3 linked regions of the Arabidopsis thaliana genome follow. The protein of the gene in region 3 purifies or fractionates together with the protein of the main gene of each other region. This does not show direct contact. Each region holds a gene or a part of one and is shown on either strand. Other genes may lie near its edges.

Region 1 (5,294 bases), 3.5 Mb from region 3:
TGTTTTATAGGTTGAGATGGTTTCATTTTTAATGTAAGGGGGTTATTGCTTCTATGAATTTAGTTTCATTTGAAATAGTTCAATTCTACAATTAATCTACTATGTAAAAATATTGCAAGTGTTTGTCGCCTTACAATGAAAAGAGGAGGAGATTGGGGACCAAAGAGTGAAGTCGATCTCAAAAAGTAGAATCCATTCAAGAATCGTAACATATCATTCTGACATTTCCTCCGCATGGTTCAAGGGAATGGAGACGACTTCTAAACCGTTTCTTTGAGTCTTTCTTTTTCTCGCATCTAGATCCCTCATGATCCAAATTGGTTCTCAAAGAGTTCTTACCACATTCCATGAGACACCCTTGTAGCTCTTTCACCAGATAGCATATTGGATCTTAAATAATTTCAACTAATTAGTATCAAAACTACTATCTCCATTAATTTCTGTCGGAAATCATCGGAGAAATTAAGGGCATACAAGTCCATATTTTTCCTTCTTTGAGACTATCATGAACGTGTTGTTGTGACAAGTATATGTCTTCTTCTTTATTTACTTTAAAAATTCCTAAAAAGGTGAATTTGCATCAATCACTTAAATTCGTAATTTTATTACCATTATTTTCTGAAATAATTTAACCTTTCTATCATTTGAACAATTGATGCTAGTTTTTATTTTGTATCTTTTTTCAATGATGCAAATTAAGATAGATTAGTATCAATTTAATTTAGTTGATGTCAAATAATTAGTTATGGCATTACTTATTGTAATTGACGTTAAATCAAATTTTGTATCTGTTATAAATAAGTAACTCAAATTAACATCATTTATTTTTGATATAATTTATTTTATGCAATACATTTTTTGTAGTAACTTTTGAATTTCAAATCTAAATTGCAATTTCTAATAAGAAATACAGAATACTTTAGATAATTATTAATGTGCAAAATCCTCAGACAATATTTTTTATCAAAACAAGCGAATATCAAATTTGAATAAAATAACATAGACGATATTTATGAGAAACGGGTGATAATTTCTTAAAATTTCGATTAGAACACATGTGTCGCTGAAAACGTGTCATACAAGACCAAAAACTGTGATACTATCATGAGTGACTGATGATTCTATTTTTGGGAAGGCCAAGTGGAGCAGCTTGTGTTATGGAGCAAGAGTGACTCACTAAAAGCGAGAACCGTCCCGCTGAAATCGAACTCGAGCATATGATCTTGAAGCTGATGTGTCCCAATCACCATCAAATCCTTCGGTGTCTTTCCACCGTCGATAAACGCCAAACACATCACCGTTTCCTTCACTTTCACCACCGTATTCGCACCGTAGAACCCCCACTTTACCTCCCCTATCCTCCCCGGCAGACCAATCTCTATCACGGGCACGTTAGGCCCCGCCGTCAAATTCTTTCCAGCGGTGCGTGAATCAAAACAATGTTTAAACGGCGCCACCGATGGAACCTTAGCTATTCCCATAGCCTGTATATATAGTTCACACCAAAACAAACAAGACAGAAAAGAGGTTATATCAGCTTATCTATATACAACAAAAAAATAACATTAGCAACGTTATAATTTAAAGGAACACATTTCTAATAATCGTTTAATAAGATATTTTATTTTAAAAATCTCAAATCATGGTTCACTCCACAGGAACTCCAATAAAGAGATAAGAAATTTTATACATGAATAATATATTTTGTTTTGAATACCTTAGCCTTGAGTGTAAAAGACTGAGCAAGAGCATTGTAGATATCGGTTTGAAGTACGGTGTAGTGAACCACCGTACTGAGTTTGGCTCCGCCGGTTAGCAAATCAGGGTTCAACTTCAAAGCAGTTCCACCAACGTAGATAGATTTTACAGTGATTAGATAATCTCCTGAGTCAGTGCCTTTAATGGGAGTTAAAGTCCTTGGAATCGGATTATCGCTACTATTGAATGGTGGGATAAAGTAGTGAATGCCGGCGATATAGAAATGACCGGTACCGGAAGAAGGCAAGCAGAGAGAGAATTTAGGGATGACGTTAAACGCTGACGTCACTTGTTTCGTGAACGACGAAGATCCGGGAGAAAGAGCCAGAACTCCGTCGACTGGAGGAGGAAGGCCTTGGAGGGCTTTCTCACCGGCGCATGAGAATGTGAAGTGGCGGACGGAGACTTGAGAGAGGAACTTGCCGCCGTCTGTGGTGTAGAGGGAAGCTCTGTCTTGGACGACACGGCCGGTTACAACGGGGTTTTGTCCGAGTGGGTTTGGTTGCTTGTAAAGACAAGATTTGCCAGCGCATCCATTACCGGGGATAGACTTGCATGTGGAGCTCTGGCAAGTGACTAGGCGGAGAGATGATAAAGATTTAAGTTTGCGGCAGTCGAGCCACGTGAGGTTTGTTCCGAGGTCGAGGAGGAGGTTTACAGGAGATTTTGCGGCGGATCCGACGTTGAAAGTGGTGTAGAATAGATTGGTGGGTTCGTGCTTGGTGATCGGAAGAAGGTATTGAGAGTTTGATTTCAGAGCTATGGCTGCGAAAATGGAAAGGAAGACTAGTAGGCGCGTGAGGCTACTACCCATCTCTATTATATTCAGGTTATAATTTTTTTTGGTAAATGAAATGATGAATGTGATTGTTTGTGATGGAGATGGACTACGATGTATGTTATTTATAGATGTAAAATACATTTTGGATCTAAGAATTAAAATGGTGATTAGTACATTTTTTAACACAAAAGTGATGGTATTCTTGAATGTTTGAGATTCGCGTTGAGATTTGTTTTCCTAAAAGTTGAATTACGCGGAATCTTAAAAAATGAGAGTATTTTTGCATGTGTTACACATGACAACAATTAATTATATGAAAAAATGAAGATTAGTCGGTGCATCTGAAGTCGTATAATGTTATGCAAAATGAGGTCTGATCAAGTATACTCGCGTGGTGGGTATATGTCACAATTCATATTCTTTTCTTTTCAAATAGTTTTCGAGTTCTTCTTTATGCATGATCTTAATCCTTAATATAGCAGCAATACATACTAGAAAGTCTTGAAAGATCTTATAATTTAAATCAAATCATTTGTATTTTCAATTTTATAGGAATAGAAACGATTTTCGCTAAAATAATCCATTAACGACTCTATTTTTTCATCGACAAGGACTTAATTTACAATTTTACATAACGAATCCAAACATATTGGGCCATATTGCCAGGCCCACGTATAAATGAGCTCAATATTAATCTTCATAACACCACATTGCTTATATTGCAACAATTAATTTTTATTTGAAAACAATGGAGAAAGATGGGTCGGTGTATCTTAGTATGCTAGTTTAAGTATCATTTAACATTAATTGGTACGTAATGTATGCAAAATGAGTGTTGAATTCTTTTATACCTGATCATAAAAAGTCTTGCAGGATCGTAAAGTTCATATGCTGTATGAAGAAAAATGATTTTTCATTCAAATAAACCATTAACGGCTCTCGTTATTTCGTTATTAAAGACCGTTGATTTGTTTTATATATAACGCCATGCAAACCATTGGGCCATATAAGTTTCTGAAGACGCCCATATATAAACGAGCCCAATCTTAATTTCATAATACATGTTAACATCACAAAATTTACAAGTACCAAGCCAACTACTCCAACTGGCATAGGGTATAAACTTTATGGATATTCCTATAAAACATCCTTTCACACGTGCCAAAAATCATCAAATCGTCTCCTTTTTCTTTTGAGCTTTTAATAAAATGGATAAACATTGACCAAAACAAAATAAAAAGAAAAGAAAAAGTCCCCACCAAAGAGCGAAACGACACAACAAGTCTACTCAGCACTTACCTTAAAATGAACCAATCCTTATCGTTTCAGTTTTTTCACATTCACAATAAACCAGCGTCGGCCCACCGCATCCCAAACCATAACGCTTAATCCTTAAAAACCGTCCAGATCCATTTCCTTCCTCTAAAACTCATCACACACACTTCTAATGGCTTCTTCTTCTTGTTTGAATCTCTTCTTCTTCTCTTTTCTCTCCGCTCTAATCATTTCTAAATCTCAGATCTCTGATTCCGTTAACGGGGTCGTTTTCCCTGTTGTTAAAGACCTTCCAACCGGTCAATACCTCGCACAGATTCGACTCGGTGACTCACCGGATCCAGTCAAGCTCGTAGTCGATCTGGCCGGCTCAATTCTCTGGTTTGATTGTTCCTCAAGACATGTTTCCTCGTCAAGGAACCTAATATCCGGTAGCTCTAGCGGCTGCTTAAAGGCAAAAGTTGGAAATGAACGAGTATCATCATCATCATCATCGCGTAAAGACCAAAACGCCGATTGCGAATTACTTGTTAAAAACGACGCCTTTGGGATTACGGCGAGAGGAGAGCTTTTCAGTGACGTCATGTCGGTTGGCTCTGTTACTTCTCCGGGAACCGTTGATCTACTTTTCGCTTGTACTCCACCGTGGCTGTTACGTGGGCTCGCTAGTGGAGCCCAAGGAGTAATGGGCTTAGGAAGGGCCCAAATCTCACTCCCTTCACAACTCGCCGCGGAAACTAACGAACGTCGTCGGTTAACTGTTTACCTGTCGCCGTTGAACGGTGTCGTATCAACGAGTTCGGTGGAGGAGGTTTTTGGAGTGGCTGCGTCTAGATCGCTGGTTTACACGCCTTTGTTAACCGGTTCGAGTGGCAACTACGTAATTAACGTGAAATCGATTAGAGTCAACGGGGAAAAGCTCTCCGTGGAAGGTCCGTTGGCGGTGGAGCTGAGCACGGTGGTTCCTTACACGATTTTAGAGAGCTCGATCTACAAGGTGTTCGCGGAAGCTTACGCCAAAGCTGCGGGTGAAGCTACATCGGTGCCTCCTGTCGCACCGTTTGGGCTCTGCTTCACTAGTGACGTAGATTTTCCGGCGGTAGATCTAGCGTTGCAGAGTGAGATGGTGCGGTGGAGGATTCATGGGAAGAATCTGATGGTGGATGTTGGTGGTGGAGTCCGATGCTCGGGGATTGTTGACGGCGGGTCAAGTCGAGTCAACCCGATTGTAATGGGTGGGCTACAATTAGAAGGCTTTATATTGGACTTTGATTTGGGTAACTCAATGATGGGCTTTGGACAAAGAACACGCTCTGATTCAACTTCGTTGTAATACAGAAACCTTTGTAATTGTAACCTTCTAATTATCTGGTAGATATCCTCAATTTTGATCTCTTTTGAGTGTACTCTTTTCTTACAATACCTGCTACAAGCAATCATGCATTTGTACAACTAATAGATCTAATTTAAGAAACAGCTA
Region 2 (5,366 bases), on a different chromosome or scaffold from region 3:
TTTATTTCTACCCTCTTTAAATGTTTAATGACCATTTTACCTTTATTTAGAAATTGTTTTAGTTTAATAAAATGAAATATTAATATTTTTTCACCTAAAATATTCTAAAATAAAATTTTCGCCAAAAATTTTCCCGCCAAAAAAATTTCGAAAAACAAATTCCCGCCAAAAAATTTCCCGCCAAATTTTGTTTTCAAAAATATTTTTCCCGCCAATTTTTTATTTTTTGGCGGTAAATAGATTTACAAGAGATTTTATAAGATTTACAAGGGATTTTAAAAGGTTTTTAAAAGATTTATAAGGGATTTTAAAAGGGTTTTAAAAGATTTACAAGAGATTTTAAAAGGATTTAAAAGATTTGCAAAGGTCTTTTAAAGATTTTTAAAGGGTTTAAAATTGTTTTAAAAGAATTTTAAAATATTTACAAGAGATTTTAAAAGGGTTTTACAATATTTATAAGGAATTTTAAAGGATTTTAAAAGATTTACAAAGAATTTGTAAAGATTTTTAAAGGGTTTAAAAGTGTTTTGAAAGATTTACAAGGGATTTTAAAACCCTTTTAAAATCTCTTGTAAATTTTTTAAAATCCTTTTAAAATCTCTTGTAAATCTTTTAAAACTCTTTTAAAATCTCTTATAAATCTTTTAAAACCCTTGTAAATCTATTTGCCGCCAAAAAATATTTACAAAGATTTTTAAAATCATTTTTTTAGCTGAGGAAAATTGTTACGAAAAAGTTTTTGGCAGGAATTGTTTTTTTTGGCGGGAAAAAAGTTTGGCGGAAATTTTTTTTTTGGCGGAAAATAAAAATTTTGGCGCCAAAAAATTGGCGGGAAAAGTTCAGTTTCCAATTACATGTTTCTATTAGATGAGGGTAATTTGGTCATTTTGTTCAAGGGAAAGGGTACTTTTAAAAATGGAAAACATAAAAGGGTATTGTTGCAAAAAAATAGTAAAAAATGGGTAGTTTTGCAAATCTCCAATCATATATATACTAAGCTTCAAACTAGTTTAGTTTTGATTTGTTTTCCGATCCTAAACTTGAATTAAGCTCATGATGTTGGGAGCCTATATAAATTATTAGAACGTGATATTCATGCATGGTGTATTCAAAGAATTACACATATATAAGAGAGACTAGGATAAAACTAATTACGTTTAGATAATACTAAATACTGAGGTATGTCAAGGATGCTCTAACATATTTGTTAGGTGGATCCAAATCCACTATGGTCGAAGCGGTGGGTAACCGACGCCAAATATTATATACTGTGCAGTTGTACAAAATGGATGAACGCTATATTCAGACAAATAAGTACTATAACAAAACAAGAAAGAACTCTTTAAGTACTTCAATTTTGAGCAAAGGAAAATTTCGAGAATAATGGTTTGTAGTAGCCCGGAGGGGAAACATTACCATTTTGGTCTAAACACTTCACAATAAACTTGAAAACAAAATAGCTAGACTAGCTAGAGATATATATGTTTAGTTTCATAATATGCATGTGACCTCATAATTAAACCTTATTTTGAAACTATAACTTATAAACAGATGAACTGGTCTTTCGATCTTTAACAAAAATAAAAATGAACTGGTCTTTCTTTTAACAAATTTCTGAATCTTGTGGGAACTCTATTGGATAATTGGATTCGTAAGCACAAATTGATCCACGACCACTACATTATACATATGCAGATATGTTAATGCTATAAGACCATCTCTTTTATTGTATGACTTTTGGAGATAACAGAAAAGGGAATCTTTTACAGATAAGAGTTTAGAGTAAAGAGAAAAGAAGCCTATTTGGTTGATTTTGATTCACTGATTAAAACAACACTTGTCTTTTTTATCTTTGCCTTCACGAGAATCATAACTACACTCACCGTCCTCGCCGATCAAAAGTCCTCGTGTGATAAGAAATTCATGTGGACAATTTTATTGCAGGTACGTATTTTTCATCAACTTATCCATAACGACACGTGTTGACCTTCTTACGTAGCTCTTCTGTATTTGATCGCCTTGGATTTGCTCTAAGACCTAATTTAATCACGCCACATGCAACAATTAACTACCAAGGGTCCCAAAAAAAGAAAGAAACACATACTACTCTATTTAATTTGATAATAAACAAATAAAGTCCGTTTAGTAGATTATGTTTTACATATAAAAACAATTAAAGTCCGTTTTGTTAATTATGTTTTACCTATAAAAAAAAAATTCACCAAAAAACATTAATCAAATCATATCCTAGTTGATCATTGGTGAGGTGACTGACAGGTCGTGGAATTCTGGCATCCTATCGTCGACAAATCTTAAACTAAAGTAACTCTTACTGTTACTTTTTAAATATGTCAAAGTAACCAATATCTTCTACGGAACTTATATCCAATTTGCATACTTTTACTCATACTATACAAAATACAAGCGGATATAAACAACAAAATAAGAAAACTACACTAATATCTATAGAAACTTCAAATTGAATTGAATATTATCGTGATATATATATATATATATATATCGCCGAATATTCCCTGGAAAATTAAATACAAAGACTATACTACTCTATTGGCTATAAATACACACACAAACCCAACAAAGCTATTTCATTATTCAAAAACCAATCACAAATAACAAAACGAAAATGAAGTTTTGGTCACGACCATTAACGTTTCTTATAATTATTATCTATCTCATAATTCAACAAGTCAACTCATCACCACCGTCATTATCTATACCGGAGCATTTTCTCCGATGCCTCGACACTCAACCATCCGACCACGGCAGTCCCAACTCAAGAACCGCCGTGATCCCAACAAACTCATCTTTCTCAACAAACCTAATGAACGGCGTCAGAAACCTCCGGTTCGCTTCTGTCTCCACAAGAAAACCAGAAGTTATCGTCGCCGCCGTCACCGAAACTCACATAAGAGCAACAATCTCTTGCTGCAAACTCCTAAACCTCGAGCTAAGAATCCGAAGCGGAGGCCACGACTACGAAGGCTTCTCCTACACTTCTCCGGTACCTTTCGTAATCTTAGACATGTACAACTTCAACAAAATCGATATCAACATGAAAGACGAAACCGTTTGGATCCAATCCGGAGCTTCACTAGGTCAGCTTTACTATAACATTGCAAGTAAAAGCAAAGTCCACGCTTTTCCCGCCGGAGTTTGTCCTAAAGTCGGCGCCGGAGGACATTTCAGCGGCGGAGGATTCGGTAACCTCATGAGAAAATACGGTTTATCCATTGATCATATAATCGACGCTCAAATCATGGACGCCAACGGTAAAGTGTACCGTAACCGTCAAGCTATGGGAGAAGACGTGTTTTGGGCTATTCGCGGCGGAGGCGGCGGAAGCTACGGAGTCATTCTTGCCTGGAAGATAAAACTCGTTAGGGTTCCGGAGAAAGTCACAGTTTTTAAACTAGAAAGAACGGTGAGAGAAGGAGCCGTTGATTTAGTTCATAAATGGCAACAAGTAGCTCCGGTTATCGACAGAGATTTGTTTATCCGGTTAGAGATTAAACCAATAAACCGGAAAATCTCAAAAGGTAAGACGATTAAAGTCTCCTTCATCGGAATGTTTCTTGGTTTACCTGAGAGACTTTTAAACATAACGAAACAGAGTTTCCCTGAGCTACATTTAACGAAAGAAGATTGTATGGTCAAGAAATGGATCGAATCTAGTGTTTTCTGGGCGAATTATCCAGAAAAAGCACCGATAGAGTTACTTCTCAAAAGAGTATCAACCAACGAATACTACTGGAAACGTACTTCAGATTTTGTTCAAGCACCAATCTCAAAACAGGGTCTTGCAAAGATTTTTCAAACAATGATTGATCATTCGCCACTTCCACGACGAGTTTGGATGCAATGGAATCCATGGGGAGGGAAAATGGCTGAGATAGCGTCTGATGCGACGGCGTTTGTGCATAGAGGTGGTAATGTTTTCATGATTGAGCATTTCATGAATTGGTATAGACCTGGAGATGAGCTTGAAGAGAAGTTCTTGGCGATTGCAAGAAGTTTTAAAGAAGCTATGGCTCCGTTTGTTTCCAAGAATCCGAGAGAAGCTTTCTTTAATTATAGAGATGTCGATATCGGAATTACTACGCCGGGGTATAATGCGACGTATGAAGGAGCTAAGGTTTATGGGGATAGTTATTTCAAAGGGAATTATTTGAGATTGGTTAAGATTAAAGCCCGGTTCGACCGGACTAATTTTTTCCGGTCTCAGCAAGGGATTCCGGTTCTTGCTTAGTTTGGTGATTGGTGAGTGTTTGAATTGATTGTATTGTTGTGTGGGAAGGAGTATACTATTAAGTTATTAAAAGTTGAAATTTGGGATCATATCCAATGAATCTATTGGGTATATATGTTCCTTAGTTGTTCTGGCATGGGCAGTTGATAATTTTGTGTTAAATAATGGTTTACTTCAATCTCCAAGAGAAGTTATGTGCTAAAATTTTTAATAATAAATGGATCGGAGTTGTATATCTCTAAGAGAATTCATTGATTATAATCAACAATATATGATTAGTTTTAGTTATAGCATAAATGAACAATATATGGTCTTTAATTTGCAAAGAATACTGATTGCAAAATCTTAAATAAATTTCATAATAAAAAATCAACCAGATTTTACGCGTCTTTTTAAACAAATATCATGTACTAATTTATCCGATGACAAACTATATTATATGATATCACTATATGTTTCTAAATCATAACCTAATATTATTTTATTTACAATTGGGGTCAAGTTTACCGCTAATTTAGTTATCTAGCAAAGAAGCCTAATAATTTTTGCATGAATCTATGCAACTTTTGTTTTTTTTTGTCAAAAACATAGTATGTCAGTATGACCGATGAGCGATGAACAAAATCATTGGGTCCATTGCAAAAAGTGTGTTTTTCAGAAATCTTGGCGCAGAGTCACAGATGAACACGTGATAGGATTTATATATTAAATGCTTGAACAGGACATGGTCGAGTTGCTTCCAATAATTGTAATGAGGTCACAGTTTTAACTATATGATATAGACTTTTCGACTGGTCGATCGGTCCAAACTGGTCCGACATTTTGGGATAGGGTTAGTTATAATTGTTAGTTCAATATTTTACACGTGGGCAAAATTCCGAGACTTTCTCACCACAATTTGAAAAAATCTCGATTCCAATCAATCAAATGACCAATATCACCAGTCAAATGTTTAAAAGAGAAAACACTAGCTTGAAGCCAAAATGTATATATATCATCTAAGTTACAAGTGGGTACGTACTTGTATTTGTTCTTGTCCACCCTAGAACAAATATGTTGTATACTACTATACTAGCTGATGGTGTTGTAGGGGAGACAA
Region 3 (4,628 bases):
ATGATATCAATGTATAAGCTTAATTGGTGTAATATCATATTACTAGCGGATTTTAGTCTCAGGACTAGTAATATGTAGATATTTTGACGGATCCGGATATCCGGATGTAATTTTTTTTGTTATCCGGCTCCGGATCCGGGTCCGTCTGATCCATAAATTTGTTATCCGTATTCAGATCCGTTTAGTCCGGATATCCGATTTTTCGGAGCGGATCACGGATCCGGATCCGGATATTCGCGGTTAGCGGATTTTAGTCCCAGGGCTAGTGTCTAGCATTGAAAAGTAAAAGATATTAGGGGAAAAAGGAAAAAAAAAAACACTCTTTATCATTTGAGTTCAGGGATCTGATGTGAGGACAAGAATTGGAAGATGTTTTGAAGTGAAGGGGGAGTGAAATAGATTTGACATAAAACATTGGATATATGACTTGATTAGGAAATGTTTGGATGTGAAAATTGGAGTCCAAGATGATTTTTATGGGGTTCAGTGTTACCAACTCTTAAAGAATGTGGCTCTTATTGAACGAATAAAAATAATTGTAGGTGTAAATTGTGTAACCTCCAATAAAACCTTTAACAAGTTGTTATTGGAGCGACTTCATTGAAAGCTTACTGCTTTCACTATCGTCAGTAGAGTCCATTGATTCGACAGGCCTGCTCGAAGCACTCAACACCAACCAACCCACTGCTCATATTTAAGAATTTATGGGACAATTCAATTCAAGTTACTAAAAAGGTGAGATTGGTAGGAAAAACTGGATGATAAAAATAAAATCATTTTTTCCAGTCCCACAATAAATACTATACTATTGTTTAGTAAGCAATACGCCAAAACCTATAAGCTATAGCTTTTATTAAAAGTGAAAAAGTGATTCTATATGTTCTCTTTTCTCTTATCCCCCAAGTCCCAACATCGCCTTTATTCTCCACCTTCCTTTAGATTATTCATTCTCTCTTTTTGTTTGTTCTTTTTACCGTATCATTGGTATCAACACAACATAATTAATATCTTAATCCATTTTTCGTTTATCTATAAAGTTTGATTCCTCTGGTTAAAAGTTAAAACAAGGTCTTGATACTAATCATACTATATACAGTATATACTAACGTTATAAGATTATAGGTGGAAACTACAAATCGTTATTATTAAAATAGATATATGAATCTATCTTTCACATATTTCCAAAGATCGAATTTACACAGGGCATAACAAAATAACAAAACAAACACATCCCTTTCCCCAAACTCCGAACCAGACGCGATAGATATCTACAAACTTTCTTTGACTACAACAAGCTTTTAATCACCATCAATTCTAGCCACGTGTCTCGTTCACAGACCATCTAAAATTCAAACCATAGTTTTACACGTCGAAGTCTGAGGATCCCACAACGCCGGCAATAGATATTTTCTACCGGCGAGACCCAAAGCGTTGTAACTCGCTCCACTCGTCTTGTCTACGAGAACCCGACCCGCGTAACCCGGGTAAGCACCCGAACCGAATATCCCGGTACAAGCCGAGACAGCTTCTGGAGACGGATTCGTTACGGTGTTAACAAGAAGAGTCGCGATGTTTATAATCATTCCGTCAACTCCGACGTCGCCGTTAGGTGCGACTAACGGCGGAGACTGAGGTCCGTAGATAGGCTGATGAAACGGCCACGCGCAGTAACCAGGACACTGCGTTTCAGAGTTTCCGACCCACACGTAAGCTCCACTGTTAACGGAACTTGACTTTGACCCGTGAGTCCCGCATCGGTTCATACAGAGTCCCTCAACGGTGACGTCTTTCGCCGTTAAGACGACGGTTATTGACCGAGCACCACCAGCGTTAAGTTTGCTTGACAGAGCACGAAGGTAAGGGCTCTTTAGGGATTTTCCGAGAGGGTAATTCTCAAGGAGGAGCTGTTTACCGACAACAAGAGTTGAAACGCCGGTTTTGTACTTCTCCGTCGTCTTCCACCACGACGCGACGGATGGACCTTTGGCGGCGGTGACAGAACTGATAGAGCGGATGAAATCGACGATTATGGACCGTTGGATTGGGGTGAATTTTCCGTACCAAATGAGATTAAGAGTAATGTTTCCGTTCAAGGTTCGAACCGGAGGCTTCAACGCGGCTGCGGTAAAGCCGACGGTGGCGGAGAGGAGAACGAGAAGAATGGCAAAACGGTAGTTATAAGCCATTTTGGGAGTATATAGAGTGAGAAGAGAGGTTGTGTTCTGTTTTTGAATATGAGTTTTGTGAAACCATTGAGAGCTTATTTATATACCGAGGTTTTTTGAACGGGCAAGAGCTGTAAAATGCAAAGAGCGTACATGTCAACGTATGCCACGTGGATATATTTAATTGGTTAGGCAAGTTTTTGGACAGCCTGTAGTAAGGTTCTTCTTAGGGTGACGTGGTAGTTTCCATAAACGTGTATTATCAAGTAGTACTATTTTTTGGTTTTTAAAATTTTCGAAATGTAGATATTATGCGACAGGGATAAACACTTCCGTGCATGTCCGGATAAAAGTTTATACTATTTACGTTGAACAGTTTACGTCTGAAGTTATTGAAAGATGCAATTCAATAAATTCAAGGGTTATCTTATCCTGCTAAATAAAATTAATTTAAAAAATTGAATAAAAACAATGTGGCTATGAAATGTTTAAGGACTATGCGCATTCTAAACGTTTTTAATTAAAACACCAAGTTACGGTTACATGTAATCATCATTGACAAAAACATGGGCGTTTAAGATGACCGACTCAGCCCATACAAAAATTGCTGAAGGTAAGACCAAGATACATTGATAATACGATTGGCTCAGATGGTTTTATTGGTGTATAAAAAAAATTGGCTCCTAAAACAAAATTTACGTATATATAGTTTTTAATATTTCCCTTATTTGCATATCATTGAGAGAATGAAATCAGAATTTGGATTTATTAAAATAAAAATGACATGCACTAAGAAAAAGCTACTAGCTATAGCTAAGCTAAGCTACATGTCTTGGCTATATATATTGCAATTAAACATTAGATATTTTAGTTTATCATTCGAGTATACGATTAGCTGCAACTAGACATCTAAACCGACATACACTAACCACACTAATATCGTAATAAACCATATTATTTAAATGCTGCTTCCCAGAGCTATTCAAAATCTATTGTTTTGAGGGAACCCATAATGGAGATATAAAGCACTTGGTTACTGTAGTAGGGATCAAATCCTTACGTATTTCAGTAATCAATATTCAATAATACTATGGAACTATGTATACAGTATCAGTATGTAAGTATATAGAGATCTACAACTTACAAAGTATTTTGAGCAGTGGTTAGTATAGCTAGGGTAAGGCGTACGAACCACGCCCTTTCCTATGTCAATTATTGCCTTACATCTGCGTGGTCCTCTCTTCTTCTGTTTCTTTGCCTTTCCCTTTTTAAATTCTATAACACTTTATCTTTTATTCGTCTTTTTTTTTTCTTTAATATCTTCAAAGTATATTTTATTTTTCTAAATTCTAGAACGTTGTGAAATGTTCTATATTCATGGATATCGAATGATGCGGTCTCAATTTTCAAACCCACTTAATTCATGGTCTACAACTCACTATACTTAATTTTACGTATTCATAGGTTCACATCACAATATTGGTTGTGGTCTCATCAAATAGTTGTAGACTTGGTAGTAGAACTTTAAAAGTTCAAATCTCAGGTAAATAAAAGTAGAGCCGTTGGATTTACCTACGTCAAGGCACGACATACGAGGAAGATGAGTCTCGTAGACCCACCACATGTAAGTACTTTTTTTAAAACTTGAAATATATATATACGCCTATTTTACGTCACCTTGCCAGAACTCAGAACTAGGCAGAACTGTAAGCTTACCTTTTACCTTTGTATTTAACACGTGAATTTCAGTCGAAAAAACAAAAATCTACTAAAATATCTATCACAGAAGCCACATTTTTACAAAAATACAAATTATCCGTACCCAACGTAAGAAAACAAAAACATATATTATTAAGAGAAACAAACAACTGCAGTTACCAAAAAAAAAGTTTTTGAATTTATTTTACATAATTTTTTTATTTTTTTTTATTTTACATAATTGTAACTACAGAATCTTGTCAGTATATATATATTAAAGAAACAAAATTTTAATACAAGATCTGAATTTATAATTGGGACATTTATAATTAGATATATTTTATGAAAATATTAGATGACAAATGTTACTTCTGATACAAATAATGTCAGATGACAATCATACTATCATTTCAGTTTGATAAATTTGGTTGATATTTTCCTATCATAATCACGTTTTTGGTTAAACTAATTCCGGCCGTCTTCTTTCATATTATCGATTCTCTTTAGTTTTATTTAATATAATAAAATATTATCATTATATTTTCTTGAAGCATGGCCTTTTAATATATAGCATGGACTAATGACATATAGTCACTAACACAATTTACTATGCTAAATGTTTTGGTCATTGTAATTAAGATTATATCCCCAACCAATTGAGTGATATTATAACCATACACTAATACAATTGATATGATCGGCTTATAAGAAAGCTAAAATTTCATCGTCATAACAATTAATGTGTTTTTGGTGTGAGCGTGCGTC

Evidence for each region.
Region 1: the proteins of EXL4 (region 3) and AT5G19110 fractionate together in Arabidopsis thaliana (co-fractionation; one large-scale study listed by BioGRID). This does not show direct contact.
Region 2: the proteins of EXL4 (region 3) and AT2G34810 fractionate together in Arabidopsis thaliana (co-fractionation; one large-scale study listed by BioGRID). This does not show direct contact.

Annotation. Positions count from the first base shown.
Region 1 is NC_003076.8:6,410,599-6,415,892, forward strand, and holds AT5G19110 (Eukaryotic aspartyl protease family protein), read right to left. Parts: upstream 2,714-5,294; 5' UTR 2,681-2,713; coding exon 1,718-2,680; intron 1,485-1,717; coding exon 1,122-1,484; 3' UTR 845-1,121; downstream 1-844. Other genes in the region: AT5G19120 (Eukaryotic aspartyl protease family protein), read left to right, coding at 3,987-5,147.
Region 2 is NC_003071.7:14,682,648-14,688,013, forward strand, and holds AT2G34810 (FAD-binding Berberine family protein), read left to right. Parts: upstream 1-2,522; 5' UTR 2,523-2,644; coding exon 2,645-4,267; 3' UTR 4,268-4,569; downstream 4,570-5,366.
Region 3 is NC_003076.8:2,935,955-2,940,582, reverse strand, and holds EXL4 (EXORDIUM like 4), read right to left. Parts: upstream 2,391-4,628; 5' UTR 2,187-2,390; coding exon 1,350-2,186; 3' UTR 868-1,349; downstream 1-867. UniProt on the Arabidopsis thaliana protein: May play a role in a brassinosteroid-dependent regulation of growth and development.